2 linked regions of the Rhinolophus ferrumequinum genome follow. The protein of the gene in region 2 binds, or shares a complex with, the protein of the main gene of each other region. Links are inferred from orthologs where the notes say so. Each region holds a gene or a part of one and is shown on either strand. Other genes may lie near its edges.

The links. Proteins that work in one complex are often made in the same cells at the same time.
Region 1: VIRMA (region 2) and METTL3 share a complex: the UniProt entries of both Homo sapiens proteins name them as parts of the WMM complex. The link is inferred for Rhinolophus ferrumequinum from reciprocal best matches to the Homo sapiens genes VIRMA and METTL3.

Annotation. Positions count from the first base shown.
Region 1 is NC_046289.1:72,312,456-72,323,611, forward strand, and holds the start of METTL3 (N6-adenosine-methyltransferase catalytic subunit), read right to left. Parts: upstream 4,131-11,156; 5' UTR 4,022-4,130; coding exon 3,922-4,021; intron 1-3,921. UniProt on the Homo sapiens protein: The METTL3-METTL14 heterodimer forms a N6-methyltransferase complex that methylates adenosine residues at the N(6) position of some RNAs and regulates various processes such as the circadian clock, differentiation of embryonic and hematopoietic stem cells, cortical neurogenesis, response to DNA damage, differentiation of T-cells and primary miRNA processing.
Region 2 is NC_046297.1:35,888,465-35,899,128, reverse strand, and holds the start of VIRMA (protein virilizer homolog), read left to right. Parts: upstream 1-5,706; 5' UTR 5,707-5,959; coding exon 5,960-6,022; intron 6,023-10,406; coding exon 10,407-10,522; intron 10,523-10,664. UniProt on the Homo sapiens protein: Associated component of the WMM complex, a complex that mediates N6-methyladenosine (m6A) methylation of RNAs, a modification that plays a role in the efficiency of mRNA splicing and RNA processing.

The DNA.
Region 1 (11,156 bases), on a different chromosome or scaffold from region 2:
ACGACTTGACTTGGAGTGGATGGGTCCTGGAAAAACACACTGTTCCCCAATATTCCCCAATAAAAATTAAAAAAAAAAAAAAAAGTTGTACTTTAAAAATGCCAAGCTAACAAAGGTGTCCCAGCTATTCTTTGTCCGTATTAATTTGCATTCATTAATGACATGGATACATTTTAGTTTATTTAATCTCCTTATCTTTTAACATTGGCTCGTTAGTAATCAAGTAAGGATCAGATTTCAGTAATGCTATAAAAACTAAGGTGTGGTAGGAAAATTTTTATTTCCTGTGTGAAAAATACTTAAGGATCTTAACTTTAACCAAGTCTTGTGTTGCATCTTACATAACAACTTAATTAATAAACTAGTAGAATGTGTTTCACGATGTTTTCCTAAGAATCCTACATTCAAAGAAATATCTTCTTTGGAAAAATCAAAATAACTGAAAGAACAGTGATGGGCTGGGTTAATTTGTGTGTTTCATTTCTGCTTATTCACACCATACCAAATGGGCCAAAGCTCTAGGACAGCAGACAACATATATTTAATTACAACCTCAAAAATATTTTTACAGGCGTCTTAACCATATTATTAAGTGGATGTACTAGGAATCTTAACAATATATTATTAGGTGGATATACAAGTCAAGAAGTATTAATATTTATACCCAAAAAAGAATATTTACATTCAAGGGAGAATACAATCTTGTCAAAATTATTAAACATGCTAAGCAAGGACCTGGATGAAGTATCGAGGCTCCAGTGGTTAGGTTTGCATATGGCATAAAGTACACTCTCACGGTTTTAAAACAAGTAATTTCATAGATCATTTTGTTAAAGGATACAACTACTTGAATCCTCAAGTCCCCTTCAAATTGCTACTGCTGAAGGGAAAACAAATTACTCCATACTATAATTAAATATCTCCAGAAAAAATGCACTTACCCAAGGCTGTCACATCTTTCTACATTGCAAAAGAGGCCCAGGGGACTAAAACAGAGTGATAGGCTATCCATGTGGAGAATATGGGGAAGTGACAGAACAAGCCTACATACATTACCTTGTACTGAAACACGTATATTGAAAAGTCAATAACCTAGTGTCCAAATATTGAGTTTTTAGTTATAAAAGAATGGAACCATCAGCCCCTCTTCTTCTCAGCTGATTGAGCAACTCACCAGGATAGCCCACATCCCACTGCTGCTTTCCTAATGACCACTTAAAGGATTTCTTCAACAGGTTCCATAGAATACATGTTTCTCTGATTTCTCTCAAATATTACCCAAATACAATCTGTCTTGCAACAATGTTATTTATTCAATGCAAATCAGTTCATATGCAATTGGTAAATAAGGGATGTCAAAATAATAGAAAATTTGTTGGTTCACATGTGATTTTTCTCATCATGCTAATGTTTTGAAGTGGTCAGGGCAAATATTTTCACAGTTAAACAGAAAATTTTAGCAATATACAAATACCTTAAGAAAAAAAGGTCAGAATGCTATAGAAATGCCTTTTTATGGAAATATAAGCAAAGACAAATAAAAAAATCACACATCACACACTGTATTAGGAAAAATAAATAGCAAAATGCTTTAGGCCATCTGCATTGGAGAAAGAGGTGAAAATCAACAGTAGATTAACAACCATAGGTTAGAAAGACCCAGGTATAACTTTTGAAATTAGGAAACCCTTGGTGGCTGATAAAAATGTACCCAAAATTATACTGCATATATATTAATAGTATCCTTTAATCAGAAAAAATCTTGTACATCATTATCATCTATTTATGCATTATCATTTTAGAACCCAGAAATCAAAGACATTGATGCTTAGATGACTTTATCAAGTTTAAGTAACTAATGAGTGAAATTATCAAGTCTGGGTATCTGGACATCCAGAGTAGTGTCCTTTCTATCATGCTATTACTTAGAAATTTTAAGATACTGTTTAAAAATATTTTTCTAATAAAAACATTAAATTAAAAAAAAAAGGTTTTAAAAAATCTAAGTTGCTGGTTTGGTGGCTTCAAGAAGTGCTACACTTTGCACTATGTTAAGCTATCTGGGATAGATGAAGAAAATGCAAAGGTATTTCCCTTGGTTAAACAAAAACAGACTAATGGATGGAAGCAGAAGTAGGAGTCCCAAGGTATAGACTATGGGGATGGAATGATTTTCATTATATATCAAAACACCAGTGAGATTTAACTATGCTAGTATTTTTAGTAGAATATTATTAGGGTTCTAGTAACAGAGTTACATAGATTTTGAGCAGACTACTTCAAAACCTATTTCTTCTATAAGCCCTGCTATTTTGTAATGCAGACTTCTGCAGAAAGCAAGGTTTTTCAGGAACACACACAAACATACCTATATAGTAAAAATGCCTCTAACTATATCTTTCCAGAATGCTTTTTTTAAAAAAAGATGATGAGATGCTTAAGGCCAGTAACAGGAGTCTATGATACATTAAGAAGCAATTGGGTTATTTCTCTATGATAGTGATGTAATTGTTAGATTTTCCATCTAAAATTGATATGCATAAATAAAAGGCTCAGCCACAGAGGAAACCAAAGAATAAGAAAAAAAAAGGAGAGAAAACTGGATCTACAAGAGGTCAAAGGAATTGAAGTTTATATATCAAGAAATACCTTCTCCCTCTTGGGTAATTCAGTAACTACTCCAATGCTTGACTACTAATTAATCCCTTATCATAGGAGTTGCACTTTTTCCTCTACTCATCCTGCCCTCTTTACTTCTTTTCAATGATCTAAGCCCTATATAGCCATCAAAACCAAATTCCAAGTGCCAGCTCCTCCATGATGCTTTTCATTGAACCAACTCTTGTTACTTCTCCTTTCACTACATTCACTGTGGACTCATTCATTTGGCATTTTACATGTATCATATTGTATCTGACTTGTTATAAGCATCTATCCTTTAACCCCAACTAAATTTCAAATTCCTTGAGGGCAGGGTCAATGTCATACTTATTTTTGTCTAACTAGAGTCATGCACACTGTAACAACTCAATAGATGTTCGTTTATTTATTTATTTTGGTGTGAGAGTCCTGCCAGGGCATTTGCTAGTTCCAGGGACAAGAGTATGTCTGCGTCGACCTGATATGTATCAAGACAAGATTTAGTGATGGACTAGAAGATAGAGATAAACATTTGAACAAGCTACCACTGTCGTATAGAGTCACTATGTTTGTAGATCTTCAAAACTGATTTGCCTTAAATCATTCAGGGCTCATGCTGGGGATGGGTGATGGGTAGGACTTGAAAAATCTTTTGAGGCTCCTTCGTTTTATGCCTGACACGGGGGACACGGGAGGGGAGAAAAAATTTAAAAACAAACAAAACCGTTTTCAGATTCCTGCTCGGTATGTAAATGACTGAAACAATGTCAGTTCCTCTTCTCATTTAGTAAAACCGAGTGCAACTCTGTGAGGGCCACTGAGATGGGCACTGTGGATATTAAGATGCGGTGCTTGCTCTCTCGGTGTCCCGTCACAGATAAACGACCACTACCAACCAGTCGCTGTAACCGACAGGAACAAAGCGCCATAGAAGCAACAAAAAAAGGGGACTTGCTACTTCGAGAGATAGGGCTGAGACCTGGCAAACGCGACATTCTTTAAGACTTAAGAGGAATCAGCCAGGGGACGGGGGTGGGGCACAGGCGTCAAACCCAGGAAAGCGAACGCAAGGAACCAAAGCCCAGGGTGGGAAGGAACCTCAACTACTTGCAGCGGGGCGAAGCATCTGTGCTACTGAGGGACGAAAGAGAGTACCAATGAACAAGGCATTAAAGAAATAGCCGCTTGGAGAAGGGCTCTCACTCGGGAGCGGTCTTTTTCTACAGGGATCCCTCCCGCACACCCCGGCTACGCATGGGCCAGGATAGCCCCGCGCCTCACCCAGGTGCCCCGAGTCCTGCTTCCGCCTCCGCTGCAGCCTCTCCCGCAGCGAGTCCAGCTGCTTTTTGTGGGCCTGGATGGAGCTCCACGTGTCTGACATCCTAGTCTCACAGCCTGGACAAGTCTCGAATCAGGCGCGGCGGACTAGCACCTCCCAGCCGGAATTCCAGGAAATATTCAATTCTCTCGTGGACACCCCAAGGCGAACCGGAAAGAGATCCCGAGAGATGGCCTAGACGGAAAAGTCACTTCCGGTTTAGCGTTCGCTTTGAAGCTGAAACGAAAGCCATCTTAGGTATTGGCAGGATGGAGGACATATTTTTTAATTGGGCTTCTTGCGTCCTTCCGGGAGCAATGAGGCTGTGGTTGCCATGTTGGTGCCTGGCAAAGAGGCCATGTTGCTTATAGGCGCGCATGCGGCCATGTTTGAGCATAAGGAGATGCTTCCTGAGGGTTGACCTTAAAATAACACTAGTACAGCAGCACGTGTAGTACCGGTATTTAAAATGAAGGATCACTAATTCGTCTCGGCCAAGTTTGATACATACCTTTTCCACTGAAGGTGTAGTGGGTTTATGGTTTCATGCATTCATTTGCAAAGAGCTATTACATTAGTTTCCGCCCTATGGATGTGTATGCGTGGGCATGCTTCTCAGAGAGAAGGAGGACTGATGGATCGATGGTAATATAAGGGGTCTACAAATACATATTCTCACTCTTCTTAATTATATAACATCTACAAGTATCGTGTAATACATTGAAATACAGTCCTCATAAGGGCACATAAAGGGGGCTTCTGAGGTTCAGGTTGCATTGTGTTTCTTTTCTGGATGCTGTTTGCATGAGTATGTCATTTGTGAAAATCAACTGAGCCAAAAATTTTGGTATGTGCACGTCTCTGTAGGTGTAGTAAACTTAAATTAAAAACTTGTATTAAAAATATAGTTAGTATGTAATACTATACTAGTTTCAGGTGTACACAGTAGTTACTCAATCTTTATATACCTAAAGAAGTGATCACCATGATAAGTCCAGCAACCATCTGACACCATACAATACTATCACGATATATTGACTATATTCCCTATGCTGTACATTATATCCCCATGACTTACTTGTTTTATACTTGGAAATTTGGATCACAATTGCCCTTCACCTTTCCCGCTTTTTAATTTTTTCAGTTTCAGTTGACATTCAATATTATTGTCATACAGGGTGTCATGCAGGGTCTCTGGTCCCACTGCCCACCTAAGAACGCAGGATATGGTGAGACCAAAAAGGAACAACACAGAGCCATAGATAGGGAAGTCATACCACTATATTCTCGCTGGTGGCCGGGCAAGACACACACAGTAGGATCCACATAATCGGCAGTCCCCCATTCGTTTCTTCTGCCTGCCAATCAACCAACCAATCAATGCAGTCCCGGCAGTTACATCAGTAGCCAATTGGCTAAACGGTTACAGCTGACAGCGAACCAATCACAGTTGATTGTCATTCATTACCTGAGCCAGCACCTCCCCACAGGAGGCTGAGAGCCTGGAAACTGCTCTCTGGGACTGTGTCCCCACAATTATTTTATATGAATTTCAGGTGTACAGCATATGGTTAGACATTGATATAATTTAAAAAGTGATCCCCCAGTCTGGTACCCACCTGGTGCTATACATAGTTATTTCCATGTTATTGACTATATTCCCATGATTATTTTGTAACCACCAATTTGTACTTCTTAATCCCTTCCCCTTTTTCATCCTGCCTTCCAAGCCCCCTCCCATCTATCACCCCGATAAATCTAGTACCCGTCTGACACCATATGTAATCATTACAATATTACTGACTATAATCCTGATGCTATACCCTATATCCCCATGACTATTTTGTTACAACCAACTTGTACTTAATCTTTCCCCCTTTGTCACCCCCTCCCATCTGGCAACCATCAAAATATTCTCTGTATCTATGAGACTGTTTCTGTTTCGTTTGTTTATTTTGTTCTTTAGATTCCATATATAAACAAAATCACATTACATCTGTCTTTCACTGTCTTATATACTCTACTCAGCACAATACTCTCCAGGTCCATCCATGCCACCACAGATGGCAAGAACCCATTCCCTCCCCTGCCTGAACAATATCCCACTGTATATATGTACCACCCCCTCTTTATCCATTTTGTCAACAGACACCCAGGCTGCCTCTGTATCTTGGCCATTGTAAACAATGCTGCAGTGAATATACAGATGCATACATCCCCTTGAAGGGGCATTTTGGGTTTCTTCGGATAAATAATGGGATTACTGGGTCTTTCTTTGTCTCTTCTTTCAATCTGTGTGTGTCTTTTAATCTGAAGTGAGTCTCTTGTAGGCAGCATATATAACAGTTTTGTTTCCTTATTCATTCAGCCCTCCTAAGTCTTTTGATTGGAGCATTTAATCCATTTACATTGAAAGTAATTGTTGATAGATATATATCTACTGCCATTTTATTATTCGTAATTTTATTTTCTTTTTTTCCATCTTAAAGAAGTCCCTCTAACATTCCTTGTAATACTGTTTGGTGGTGATGAACTCCTTTAGCATCTCTTGTCTGGGAAGCTCTTTATCTGTCCTTCAATTTTCAATGATAGCCTTGCTGGGTTGAGTACCCTTTGTTGTAGGTCCTTTCTTTTCACCACATTGAATATTTCCTGTCATTCCCTTCTGTCCTGCAAAGTTTCTGTTGAGAAATCAGTTGGCAGTCTTATGGGAGCTCCCTTGTGGGTAACTAACTGCTTTTCTTTTGCTGCTTTTAGGATTCTCTCTTTGTCTTTAACCTTTGCAATCTTCATTATAATGTATCTTGGTGTGGGACTATTTGGGTTCATCTTGTTTGGGATGCTGCAATTCCTGGACTTGAATGTCTATTTCTTTCACCTGGTTAGGAAAGTTTTCAATCATTATTTCTTCAAATAGATTCTCAATCCCTTGCTTTCTCACTTCTCCTTCTGTTATGACTGTGATGTGACTGTTGTTATACTTGATATTGTTCCAGAGGTCTCTTAAACTATCCTCATTTTTAAATTTATTTTTATTTATTTATTTATTTACTTATTTACTTATTTACTTTGCTGTACTGATTGGGTGTTTTCTGCTACCTTGTCTTCCAAATTGTCTATTTGATCCTCTGCTTCATCTAGTCTGCTGGTGATTCCTTCTGGTGAATTCTTCATTTCAGTTATTGTATTCTTCACTTCTGACTGGTTCTTTTTTATGGTTTCTATGTCCTTTTTATGCTTGCAATTACTTTGTAGAAGTTCCTTGAACATCGTTATAACCGTTGTTTTGAACTCTGTATCTAGTAAGTTGCTTGCCTCCATTTTGTTTAGTTCTTTTCCTAGAATTTTCTCCTGTTTTTTCATTCAGGACTTATTTCTGTTTCCTCATTTTTGCTGCCTCTCTGTGTTTGTTTTTATGTATTAGGTAGGGCTGCTATGTCTCCCAATCTTGCCGGGTGGCCTTAAGTAGTAGGGATCCTGAGGAGCCCAGTGGCACAGTCTCCCTGGTCACCTGAGCCGGGTGCTCCAGGAGTGTCCCTCATGTGGGTTGTGTGTGCCTTCCTGTTATAATTGAGCCTTGATTGCTGTTGGCATGTCAGTGGGTGGTATTGACCCTCAGGATGTCTGGCTATGGCATTTGGCCACATCAACAGCTTATGGGCTGCTGTGCTGGGGGCTTACCCCATGGAGTGGGATTTGCCTCAGTGGGCTCTGGTGCTTCTTGAGACCACCCTTTGTTTGTGCCACTTGTGGGGCCAATTGGGCAGTGTTCTGAAGCCAACCTCCAACTATTTTGGTTCTTGGGGCCTTTGGGGAGGCCCAGGTCAGCCACTGCTTGTGATTGGCCAGGGAGTACCTGGTAGGAACTACAAAGTGATCCACATTTGGTCCTTGCCTGTGCTATACCTGGAGGCCATGCTGAGAACCAAGGACAGCTGCCACCAGTACAAGGTCTGGGGTAGCTCTGCAAAAAGCCAGGACACCTGGAGGCCTGCTGCCACCTGCTGGTTCTCGTCCGGTTCAGCCGCTAATAAAGACTCCTGCAGTATGCAAGTTGGGTGAGGCAGGGTCTCAGTGAGTCAACAGGGTGGAGCAGTGGAGCTCACCAGGCCAATCAGATTCAGATTTGGTCCATGGGGGCAGGCTCAACACAGGAAAAATGTTGCCCACCTGCTGCCTGCATTCAATCAGTGCCCCACACAGGGAAAATGGGGACTGTCCCTCCAGTCCTCACCCCAAAGTTACACAACTCAGTCTCTCCCTATGTGTCTCCAATGCACCCCAAGTCACCATCCTCCACCGGAGCCAAGGCTGAATGCCTGCATGGGCCCTTTAAGAGGATATCTGGGTTTCCTCCAGCCTTCAGTTGCACCCAGATGGTTGGAATCCCCATTGTTTTTCACAGCCAGAAGTTGTGAGCACTCCTCTTCCCAGAAACATACTCCAGGCTGGGGAGTCTGCTGTTGGGGGCTGGGGTCCCTCGCTCTTTCGTGGGGAACCTCTGTGGCTGACATATCTCTCCCAATTTGAAATCACCACACGTGAGTGTGGGACCAGCCTGTTTCATGTCTCCACCCCTCCTACCAGTCTCGATGTGGCCTCTTCTTTATAGCCTTAGTTATAAAACTTCTGTTCAGCTAGACTTCAGATGGTTCTCCAGGTTGATTGTTCTATTAATTTGGTTGTAATTTTCATGTGTTCATGGGATGAGGCAAGTACAGTGTTTATCTGTTCTGCCATCTTGGATCTCCCTAGCTCTAAAAGTTGTGTATTTTTAAAGGTGTCCTCTGAATGGGAGCATTTAGAAACCACTGATTGATCAAATGTCTGCATGATGCCAAACATTGTGTCAGAAATAATAGCTTGAAAAGTCATGGCTCCTGTTTTCAAAGAGTTTCTAGCCTGGTAAACGACCTAAGGCCCAGTTCATTAATATTGAACTATCCCTATTTGAGGCCAGGTTGCAAACTCATGAGTAAAGAGCTTGCAATTTATTCAGAATATAACAGGGAATAATTTAGGGTTTGTGAATAGGGAGTGTTTTAAGGTTGGTCTGGTGTTCTAGTTGGATTGAGATGGGGAGGAGAGTTTAGAGATAGGGAAAATGGTTAGTAGCCTATTATAACTAAGTGTTTAATGATAGGAGCCTTATTTAATTCAGAAGCTGGTTGTGGATAGTAACGGAAAGGAAACAGTAAATATGAAAGGGAGGTATTGAGAAGAAAGATGTATATGTATTGGAATGTGGCAATTTTATCCATTTATTCAGCAAATATTGAGTGACTACCACATGCTAGGAAATTAGTAGTGATCAAAATATTCTTTTCAGGGGTTGCCAGTTAGCTCAGTTGGTTAGAGTGGGGTACTAATAACACCAAGGTTGTCAGTTCGATCCCCGCATGGGCTACCGTGAGCTGTGCTCTCCTTAAAAATAAAAATAAAAAAAAATTTCCATCTCATTTTTCTGAATTTAATTTACTTAGTAGGTCATTTACACTGTCTTTTGAGATGTGTAACTTTGTATATGAACCTAGAAGAAGAGGACACAGAAATGAATATGCACTCACCTGAGCATCTCTGGACATTTAATTCGCAGGATTACACACAATAAGAAGCAAAAATGCTGTCTTCCTCCGGTGCAATACTCTTGGGAAAGTTGGCTGATGTGAGATCATGGAAGAATGCTCAAGGGGACTGCTCTACCTAAAGGTTTTTGCTTCCTTTAGTAACCTCGGTCTAGCAACTGCTCTCAGTACAGTTAATAAGGGATGCTTTTGTATTTTCATTTGGGGTGTATCCTGTGTGGCCTTATGCTTAGACATATGTATTATTACTAATGTAAGATAGCCCTATTATTGCTATATTATAGCACTGTTAAATTAATAGTTAATTATTCACAGGTACATTTGAGATCTTGCTCCCCAGCATGTCGTCAGTTTGGCTCAAGTAAACTCTTATGAAGGTTTAAAAAAAAGAAAAAATGAAACCAAACCAAAACAATTAATTGTTCACAAATCTGAATCTCTCACTTGTTATAAGATTACTGTTTCTTTCAAGGTCCTTAACATATAGAAATGAAATATACAGAAATTATATAGTAGTGAAACTAAATAATCTTGAAGGACAAAAAGAGTTCTGGATACAGCCTTGCAGAAGATGAAGGGGGTTGATTATCTTAAAGACAGAATTCTGTAGGTCAACCCCTAAACAGTATAAGCATTTTTGTCTAGGAAAGGATTTTCTGGTGGAAGAGATTTAGTCTCTGGTAGAATCTGAGATTCCTAAAGCCTGGATTGCCTCCTCTGACATACAGAGGAAGCCAAAGAAATAACGCAGGTACTTCTGAAATCAACCAAATCAAGGGCAGCTCCTGGAAGTCTTTGCTTTCACATTCACTTTGGGTAAGTTATTACGGTAGTAAATTGGCAAATTTTAAGAGCATAGGAGGGCCACTTAACATGAATCGCTTAGAGATTCTTTCTAACCAGTTTTGTGCTCAAAGGAAAGCCACATCTTTCTTGTCTGCCCACTCTTGGTCAATCGGCATAAAACCCTGAGTAGTGCAGAGGAAGAAACCTCACCCAGATCTCTTCTAGTCAGAACAGTGTAAGCCTAGTTGTGAGATGAGTGCTGCATGCACTACATTTCTTAACTTTTCCTCATATCTGCTGTGGTCGACTGTTTCCAGAGTTAGCCCCAGCAATGCCTCCCAAAATATATGCACTTATGCAGTGCGACTTTGCTACTTTTCCTGTTAATCGGTAAAGATTATTTCCCCTCCTCTACAATCTGAGCTGGCCTTCTGACTAGCTTTGGCCATCAGAATGTGGCAGAAGTGAAAATGAGTTTCAGATCTAGGCCTTAAGAGGCTTTGAAGCATCTGCTTTTCTTAGAGACCTAGGCCTTCATGGAAGTCCAGTTATCCTAAATGATAAACCACTTGAAAAGAAAGGAGAGAGATATCCTAGAGAATGAAAGACTTCTAGAGGATGCAAGATTATAAGGAGAGAGGTCCCAGCTTTCTAGCCATTCAGTTGAGGGGCCAGATGTAAGGCCATCTTGGATCCTCCAGCCCAAATCGATGCTGCCTGAGTGACCTCAGCCTTCACCACATGGAACACAGACAAGCCATCCTAGCTGAGACCTGCCCAGACAACGATGGACTCATAAACACGTAATTACTAAGACCCTGAGTTTT
Region 2 (10,664 bases):
TCGAGGGGATGTGTGCATCCATATATTCACTGCAGCATTATTTACAATAGCCAAGATGTGGAGGCAGCCTGGGTGTCCATCAATGGGTGAATGGATAAAGAGGAGGTGGTACATATATACAATGTAATATTGCTCGGCAGGGAAGGGAATGGGTTCTTGCCATCTGTGATGGCATGGATGGACCTGGAGGATATTGTGCTGAGTGGAGTGTTAGACAGAGAAAGACAGATGCAATGTGATTTTGCTTATATGTCTAAAGAACAAAACAAATAAAACAGAAACAAACTCATAGATACAGAAAACATTTTGATGGTTGCCACATGGGAGGGGGGTTGGGAATGGGTGAAAAGAGGTGAAGTGCTTAAGAGGTACAAATTGGTTGTTATAAAATAGTCATGGAGATGCAGGGTATAGCATAAGGAATATAGTCAATAATATTGTAATAACTATTTATGGTGTCAGATGGGTACTAGATTTATTGGGGTAATAGATGGTAGGGGGTTGAGGGACACTGTGCAAAAGGTGAAGAGATTAAGAAGTACAAATTACGTCTGAAGTACAAGATTAAGAAGTTACAAAATAGTCATGGGAATACAAAGCACAAGGAACATAGTAAATAATATGGTAGTAACTATGTATAGTGCGCGGTGGGTACTAGACTTGTCAGGAGGATCACTTCTTAAATTACGGGATGTGGAAAAAAGATATGGTGAATGTTTAAATTTAAAAAATTTGTTACAGTAAAAGACACATTGCCATTAATCCCCCTCAAAACATTTCTCCTCCCTTCGAACACACTTATCCCATCATTCTCGCCACTTTCTGAAGCAATTCTAAAAGTCCTCTTTCTTGTTGTGGCTCCTTTGATGTCCTGAATCTATTCCAAATGTTTATCTTTCATGGACATTTTGACTTTGGGGAAGAGCCAGAAGTCGCATGGTGCCAGATCTTGTGCATAAGGTGGATGAGGACACACTCTGTTTTTATTTGACAGAAATTGCCATACCAGAAGTGGTGTGTGATATGGAGCATTGTCATGATGGAGTCTTTCCATTGTGATCAAGAAATACAGTGAATGCTGCTGCAGAGTGCCATCCAACAGAAAGGCAGGGATGCTTCAATGGGAAGTGGTGCGTCAGACCTTAGTATGCGAGAAGTTTGATGCAGTCAGTCAGGTGTGAGCTATGATTGAGAGAAGGTGTGTTTTAAAGTGTTCTGTAAATCATCCATCATCATGACAATTGCTCCATGTCACACATCGCTTCAGGTATACAGCAATCTCTGTCAAATAAAACCATTACGGTCTGTTCTCATCCACCTTATTCACCGGATCTGACATCGTTCAACTTCTGGCTCTTCCCTAAAGTCAAAATGATTCAGGACATCGAGGCAGCCACGACAGCGCAACTAAAGACTCACGAAAGAGGACTTCCAGAACTGTTTCAGAAAGTGGCAAGAATGATGGGATAAGTGTGTTTCAAGGGAGGGGGAATATTTTGAGAGGGATTAATGGCAATGTGTCTTTTAGTGTAATAAATTTTTTTATTTAAACATTCACCATATTGTTTGATCACACCTCATATATGTCTAGCCACTATGCCGTACACCTGAAATTAATATAAAGTAATAATAAAAAAAAGAAATGTGTGAATATCAAATCTCTTGAGGAGTAGGAGTAGACAATAAGGGGATAGGGAGTATGAATATACCACATTTTGTTTATCCATTTATTTGTCGATGGATATTTGGGTTGTTTTGACCTTTTGGGCATTGTGAGTAGTGCTGTTCTGAACATGTGTGTAAAAGTAATTTAGCACCTGTTTTCAATTCTTTTGGTACATACCCAGCAGTAAAATTGCTTGGTCATATGATAATTCTGTTTAACTTTTTGAGGAACTGCCAAACTGCTTTCCACAGCAGCTGTAACAGTTTACATTCCCACTATCAATATACAAGGGTTCCAATTTCTCTACATCCTTGCCAACACTTATTTTTTAAAGTTATAGTCATCCTAATGGGTGTGAAGTATTTCATTGTAATTTTGATTTACCTTTCCCTCATAACTAAAGATGTTGAACATCTTTTCATGTGCTTATTGGTCATTTGTACAACTTCTTTGGAGAAATGTGTATTGAAGTCCTTTTGCCCATTTTTTAACCGGTTGGTTTATCTTTTTGTTGTTGCGTTGTAAGAGTTCTTTACGTATTCTGGAGAGTAGACCCTTATCAAATATATAATTGGCAAATATATTCTCCCATTCTGTAGGTTTTCTTTTTACTCTCTTGATAGTTTAAGTTTGATGCACAAAAGTTTTTAATTTTGAGGAAGTCCAATTTATTTTTTCCTTTGTTGCTTGTGTTTTTTGTATCATATCTATGAATCTATTGCCAAATCCCAGGCAGTGAAGATTTACCTGTATGTTGTCTTCTAAGAGTTTCATGATTTTAGCTCTTATATTTAGGTCCTTCATCCATTTTGAGTTCATTTTTGTATATGGCATTAGATAAGGGTCCAAATGCATTCTTTTGCATATAGCCAGTTATCCGAGCACCATTTATTGAAGAGATTATTCTTTCCCTATCAAATAGCCCTGACACTCTTGTTGAAAATCAATTCAGTATATACGAGTATGTTAAGGTTTATTTCTGGACTCTTAATTCTATTCCATTGGGTCTACATGTTTACATTTATGCCATTACTAGTTTTGATTACTGTAGTTTTACAGTAAGTTTTAAAATTAGGAGTGTGTGTCCTCCAAACTTGTTCTTTTCAAAGATTATTTTGACTATTTGGGGTTCCTCTGCAATTCTGTATTAATTTGAGGATCATATTTTCCATTTCTAAAAAAAAACTATTAGAATTATGATAGGGATTACATTAAATCTATAGATCACTTTGGGTAACATTGTAATCTTAACAATATTAAGTCTTCTAATCCATAAACATGGATGTCTTTCCATTTATTTGAGTCTTCTTTAATTTTTTTTCCAGCAATATTTTGTAGTTTTCAGTGTACAAGCCTTTCACCTTCTTGGTTAGTTATTCCTTAGCTATTTTATTCTTTTGCATTATATTTTAACTGTGTGTAGATTTTTGAAAGCCGTATTGAGGAGTCACATTCAAAGCAAAGAAAACCATGTAAGAGATTCACATCTCTTATATCTCTTACCTCTGTATTAGGCGAGCTACATCTAGCTGGGAATGGCTGAATCATCAAAGTGGTGTGGTAGGGACAAGGTGAAAGAGTGAGCAAGAAGTGAGTATGATGCCTTACAAACTATGAGAGGTGATAGATAGCCAACCAGGGATTCGGGGCTCTCCCGGAAGTCTAGTTAATACCTTCTCTCTTCTTTGACCTCTTAGACATCTTTCTGCCCTCTCAGTCATAGCTGATGATCTCATTGAGACAAAGAAACCATTAAAAAGGAACTCCCTCATTTCCACATACTAAGTCATTATTCCTATCTGTATGTGCACCCATGGACTCCTTTCCCCTTGTTACCAGGGAGCAGGTGATTTTTCTAGCAAAGGTCACTTTCTACTTGGGTTCCCTGCCCACATACTCAATACTTTGCTGCCTCAGATATCCCCTTTCTCTCTTCTTCATCACTGTTTCTCTCTCCATTGCTTCATTCCCATCAGTCTGCACACTCTGTATAACATTTATGTCATTTATGCCCCCATCTTAAAAACACTCTCTCTTGACCCCATGTTCCCCTCGAACAACCACCTAATTTCTCTGTTCTATGCAACAAATTTCTTGGAAGAGATGTTTATACAAGATTTCCTCTACTCCTCAATTTTTATTAATCTTTTAAAATTTTACTTAATAGGTAATATATGTACATGGAAACAGAGTCCCTCTATTTCTGTACCTTAGCCATCAAGCTCCCTCCCAGGAGGCAACAACTATTCTCAGTTTCTTGCATAATTCCTTCAGAGATAGTCTATAAATTCAAATATACATATAGTACATATGAGCAACACAAATAGTGAATCCTAATGTAAGTCACGGACTTTAGTTAATAATAATATGTCAATACTGGTTCAATTATAATAAATGCATCACATCAATACAAGATATTAATAATAGAGGAATCCTTGAACAGGGGAAAAACGGAATATATGGGAGCTCTGAATTATCTGGTCAATTACCTGGAAAACTAAAACTACTCTAAAAAATAGTCTATTAGTTAAAAAAATAGCTATCGCACACTACTCTTAGGTCAAAATGAAAATCAAAGCTAAGAAAATCAGACTATGTAAAATATACCAATAATATAAAGCACTATAAGGTATATTAACAGTTAAAGCAGAGCCTAGGTGAAAGTTGGTAGACATAAATATATATAGTAATAAGATATATGAATATAAATAACTTAAGCATCACTATAGAAGTTAAAGCAGAAGGAATTAGTAAATTCCAAAGCAGAAACTAAAGAATCAGAAAATAGAAAAACGCTGGAAATAATAAATACGAATGCAAGAACTGGTTCTTTGAAAAAACAAATAGTAAAAGAGACAAACTATTAGTTAACAGAGGAAACTGGTGGCTGAGGAAGGGGTGGATGGGACATTTACTTTAAAACTGAAAAATGAATGCATTATTAAATATTTCAGACATATCAAAAGGCACAGACAATAATGTAAGACACAACTGTGAAACCACCACCAATCTAAAGAACAAAATATTACCAAAGCATTTGAAGCCCCTGTGCACTTCTCAATTACATCTCCCTCCAGTTCACCACTATCTTGACATTTTAGTGTTTATCATTCCAATGCATTTCTTCATAATTTTAAAACATATATGCCCCTAAAAATTTACGTAATTTTGCATGTTTTGAACTATATAAAGGTGATTTTACACTATTCTTCAACCTGTTTGCTTAACCGTTTTTTAGATTATCCATGTTAGTAGATATAGCACTAGTTCACTCCTTCTACCTGCTATATACAACAACCACGTTGTATAAATATACCAAGGTTTACTTATTATTCTCGTTAATGACAAGTTTACAGCTTTTTTTGCAATATAGTGTTGCCATGTACATTCTTGTATCTGTAGGTGTATCTTTGGGCACGAGTGCAAGAATTTTCCTAGAAGTGAGGTAGGCACGTGTAATTTCACTAAATAATTCCTAATTGCTTTCCCAAGCACTCCTGTCTATATAGACTACCAAATAGTTCCAGTTGCTGCAATGCTCAACAGGGAGACGGCGACTTTTCACTCTACATTTTGATGTTGATGGCATTTCACGTTATACAATTTCTTGAATTTTTATTTCAATTTATCCTCACAAAAAGCCTGTGGGTTGGGTATTATTATTTACATTTTGAAGATGAGAAAAAAATCTCTTCGTTTTAAGACGTTTCTTTTCTTCTTTTTAAGAAGTGTCTTACTATTCAACTTAGATAATTGCACTTTTTTCATGCCAGTCTTGGAAAAACTGTCTGCTTGCTGGCGGTTTCACTGGGTATCCAGAGCCGGCAGCTTTCCCCACTCCTCCACCTCTTCAAAACCTGCTCGACACTCCGCCACTCCGAGGCCATTGCGGCTTTGTAACGCGGTAGAATAACAGAGTTTGGACCACTGGAGTCACCGTAGTCCTCCCCTCTTCTCCCTCCACCTCTTCGGTGCTTCGAGGGAGCCCTCCGCCGCGCTGGAGTAGGCGGGGCCGGCGACTTCGGGAAGTACCGCGCTTCGGGATAGGCCAAGGCTTGAGGCACTAGCGCTCCGGTCTCCGGAAGTGCTGCTGTCTCTCTCTGTCTTTCTGTCTCTCTGTCTCTGTCTCTCTGTCTCTCCCTCCCTCTCTTTCCCCCTCCCCTCCCCCTCTCCCTCTCCCTCTCCGTCTCCCTCTCTCTCACTCTCTGTCTATCTCTCTGTCTCCTGAGCCGCAGTCGCTGAGGTTGGACGGCTGCCCCGGAAGTCCTCCCCCTTTCCCCTCCCGTGGCAAACATGGCGGTGGACTCAGCGATGGAGCTGTTATTTTTAGATACTTTTAAGCACCCGAACGCTGAGGTAAGTCTTCACTATTTGATTCTGACCCTGCTTCTCGACTTTGGTACCCTTACAAAAAAATCCTTAGGCGTGCTTCCACTTTTCTTCCTGCCGGTTGCCGCTTTAATTCCTCACATACACCCCCCCTCCCTCCCAGCAGTGTGTGGGTACTGCGTCTGAGGGAGGGCAACGGTGGCCCCCACATTTCTCTGCGTTGTTACCTCAGGCTCCCGCCTCTTTGGTTGAGGTGGCTGCTCAGCTTGTTTTGCTCTCCCCCTCCCCCCTTCAGCTTTAGGCCTTGAAATGATCTTGGTTCTCAGGTGTACCTCAGGGGGTGTTTGGGAAGGGTCCTCAGACCGCTTGTGTTTGACAGTAGTGCAGGTAACCGATCAGCTCACCTTGGCTTCGTGGTTCCTAACTCCCTTCTACTAGGTCCATTTCCTAACGGGAGTTGGGTTGCCCAGATGTGGCACTCATTCGGTTTAGGATTGCGGCGTTCTCCAGTTTGCCCTGAAACTTTAATACTTACCTCCTGGAAAGATTTCACTCATTAGGACATGAAATACTTACATGGAACGGCTTTTGCGTGGAGAATACCTGCGAGGAGGGGAAAATTGAGAGAATTGTAGTCAAACTATAAAGCACTGTAGTATTGTCGTTTTGAGGGGCGAGGGTGGGGAATTGTGGAGTAATCGTTCGGTAATAATCTGAGCGGCCCTGAACATATATGACTGGCTCTGCGGTATGTAAATTGAATGTAGCTAAATAGCTATGAGTTCTCGAAAGCCGGTCAAAAATGAACATTAAGAAAGTCCACAGAGAAATTAAAGAAACCTCAGAACCCACACATTTTCTTTCAGTGTAGACTTAATCATTTTAGAGAACTATTCTTTCCTTGGAGATAGTGATAATAGTGGGTAGTGGTTGTATCTTAATGCTTTACTTGACAAAATAAAAAAATGTCAACGTTGGTCTTCTAGTTACTTTAATGAGTGGTTTATAGGTGTATAAAAATAAAATGTTTGGAAACTTTAGCATGTCTTACTAACAATGAATTAATTTGTTGTCTCGCATTTCATGTAGGTCAATTAGCTCTTTGTTCAATGACCATACTTTTCTGGCTGTAATTCCACCTAGGCTTTAGAAAACTCACAATGGAGGCCGTAGTTGGATCAGAACAAACCTGTCATGTGTACAGAAATAGAGAACAGTTAAAAATGAAAGAAAGAAGCATATGATGAATTAGTAGTATTTTAGTTTAGGAAAATTAGCATTCATTCACTTATATATTTAAGAATCTGGTATTTCTTTATTCATTCTTAGACAAACATTGAGGACCATGAGAGGATAGGAACAGTATCCTGGCAATGTTTGGGGAAGGCTTAGTAGAGATCACATTTGAACTGAGTCCTGAAGGAGAAGTGGGAATTTATAGGGGGATATGGATTTTTTTTAAAAAAAATTTTAGTTCTGGATCCTGATTTCCTGGAACCTTTTCCTGTATCTGAAGCCTATTTTTAAAAATTTATTATTTTATTTGTCAATTACAGTTGGCAGTTTATTTTATATTTGTTTTAGGTGTACAGCATAGTGGTTGGACATTTATATAATTTATGACGTGATCCTCCCATTAGTCTAGTATCCACCTGGCACTATACTTAGTTATTACAATGTTATTTTTTGACTTGGGAGGGATATGGATTATTGAGATGTTTTGTTTTAAAGGAGTTTATAACTAAGTATTGGAGAGTAGGTCTACAACATTATGATTCAAGTTAGAATGTGATGAGTGCATAAAGAGACAGAATGCCCATCACTTTCTGACATACTAGGACCCCAGTTGGTATTTATTTAGCCCCCTTTTGTTGGTACAAATAAAGGTTGTGTGATTTCCGAGGAGAGATCTTTATTTGAGAGCATTAGGAAAGACTTCATCAAGGCAGTTGGCATCTCAACTTGATCTTTGGTGGAAGAGGGTATGTTCCACAGTAGTAGACAGGAAAGGAGGATATTCTCTTGGAATAGTCAGTCTTCTGTAGTGTATGCGAAAGTAGCAGTGCGAAGTGGCACCTGAAAGGTGGTTCCAAGCCAGGTCATAGAATTCCTTGATGCTCAACAGAGGAGTACAGACTTTATTTTGTAGGAAATGGGTAGTTTTTGAGCAGAGTTCAGTTTTGGACTTGCTGAGTTTGTAGTGCCAGAGGAACATTCAAATGGGGATATCCAGTTGGCAGTTTGATATAGTGGTTTGGGGCTCCGGAGAGATGTTCGAGGTGGAGATAAGGATTTGAAGTCGACCTCTGGCAGTGGATGAAAATCTTATTTCTTGTAATTTTATTTATTGTACTTAGCTACTCTGCTCTACTTCCCTCTCCCATTTTGCCCTCTCGACATGGTGAACTGTGCTTACAATTACTTGACCCTTCCAAGTTCTTGTTTGCTTTCCTTTTGTGCATGTTTCTTCCTTTGTCTGGAAAGCTCTTCCTTCTCTTTCTCTTCCACTGATTCTTGTTTTCCTTGCAGACTTAATTAGCTCAGGTGCTACTTCCCAGACACTCTTTTCCCCCCATAAATATTTGCTCACAATCAGAGTTAGGTAAATACTTCTCTGAATTTTCAGTTTTCTGTGTGAGTCTGTGTTACAGCAATTTATCTTTCTGTCTACCCCAATAGATTGTTCCTTAATGGCAGAGACTATGTCTTGTCTTTGTATCCACAGGACCTAGCATACCTTGGAACATAATATACTTTTAATAAATGTTTAGAAATAATTGTTGAATAAAAGTGGTAGTGCCTAATACAGAAACTCTTCTACTTACAAGCAGAATATTTTAAAAGGCTGTTTGTAAAATCTAAAGTTCATTTTTGTAGGTCCACAATGACTATACCCTAATTACTACTAATACCATTAATTAATTAATTAATTGAAGGCGTGGTGGAGGAGGATAGAATTGATAAACTTTTCTTCTAAAGTTCCTTTGTAGATACTAATGAGACTTTATAGCCATGTACCACGGAGCTTCTATGTATAGTCATGAGCTGCATAACAACATTTCATTCAACAATGAACTGGATATATGATAGCGGTCCCATAGATTATAATGGAGCTGAAAATTTCCTTTGTCTAGTGTCATAGCTGTTGTAATGTCCTAGTGCAACTCATTACTCACGGGTTTGTGGTAACACTGATGTAAACAAACCTACTGTGCTGCCAATCATATGAAAGTTTAGCACTTAAAATTATGTATAGTATATAATACTTGGTAATAATCAATGACCGTGTTATTGGTTTATGTATTTATGATACTGTACACATTTTAGGAAAGACTAATTTGAACAGTTTTTTGGTCTGTTGATATGCATGATATTCTTCTCAGCTTCAAGAGAGGCTCAAGATTTGGTCCTTCTAGATGCAAATAGCGTGAACCATTCTTATTGTGAACTTTGACCACTAGATAATGATCAGGCTGGCTGAACTGCTAAGAAAAGCAGTCCAAAAGCAATGTGAAATTTTATTTTTAAATTATTGATCACAAGAGCTTCATTTGTTTGATTCTGTGTCATATAATACAAAAAAAATAAGTATACAGTAAATGTATGCTATCCATTTCTTTTATTATGATAAACTCTTAGTTTGTGGATTTTTCTTTTTTTAAATTTCAGAGAGGGTTTACCTCAACTATTCAATACCTAAATTGCTTCCCTTGATCTTTTGATTAGTTGGTATGTTTAGTAGGTTAAGTTAATTTAAGTACAGATCCACAATCCATTATCTGAATTCCATATTTAGAATTCAGGAATTCTAAAATGGCAGAAAAACCTACCCTGAATTCATTTGGCCATGCAATCTGATTTGAACTGACATGATGGTAGTTAATGATCTTTATTTATAGTGGGAATGTTTGTTTATACATGTGACTGCAGAAATATTGTTTTCCTTACAAGATACATGTGACTGCCTCAGAAACCATTGAGTGTGTTAAGTGTTATAATACGTAGTATTTGTATCATATTACCTTTCTAAAAATCTAAAAAGTCAGGAATCTAAAAGGCATCTGGCTCTAGAGGTTTCCAATAAGGGATTGTAGGTCTGTATTGGCCTAAGCAGAACATCAGCGAGGTGAATTGCAGAAAATATTATTACACAAATGGGGAGATTTGACTAGGTATATTTTATCTTCAGCTATTTTATAAAAGAGTGCTTTACACAGCGTTGTAAATAATATAATAGCACTGTTTTAAAGATACAGAGTTTAAGATTATTTGTGACAGTCAGAGTAAAGAGTAAAGATACAGAGTTTAAGATTATTTGTGACATTCTGAATGCAACAAATTGAAGATGAGTAAATTTTGAATAGACAGAGTGTTTGCTTACAGTATGTCTCTCCCTCCCCCCTTTTTAAAGCAAAGTTCTCATATAGATGTGGTTCGTTTTCCATGTGTGGTTTATATCAATGAAGTCCGAGTCATACCCCCAGGAGTAAGAGCCCATAGCAGCCTGCCTGACAGTAGAGCATATGGGTAAGTCAGCATTCTTTTTAAAAGTATTGTGACTGAAGATTGTCCCAGAAACATATTCTTAAATGAAAGGTAATATTTTGTAAGTAAAAAAAGTATTTTATAAGTAAAAAAAAAAACACCCTAAAACTTTATTCAGTTTTAG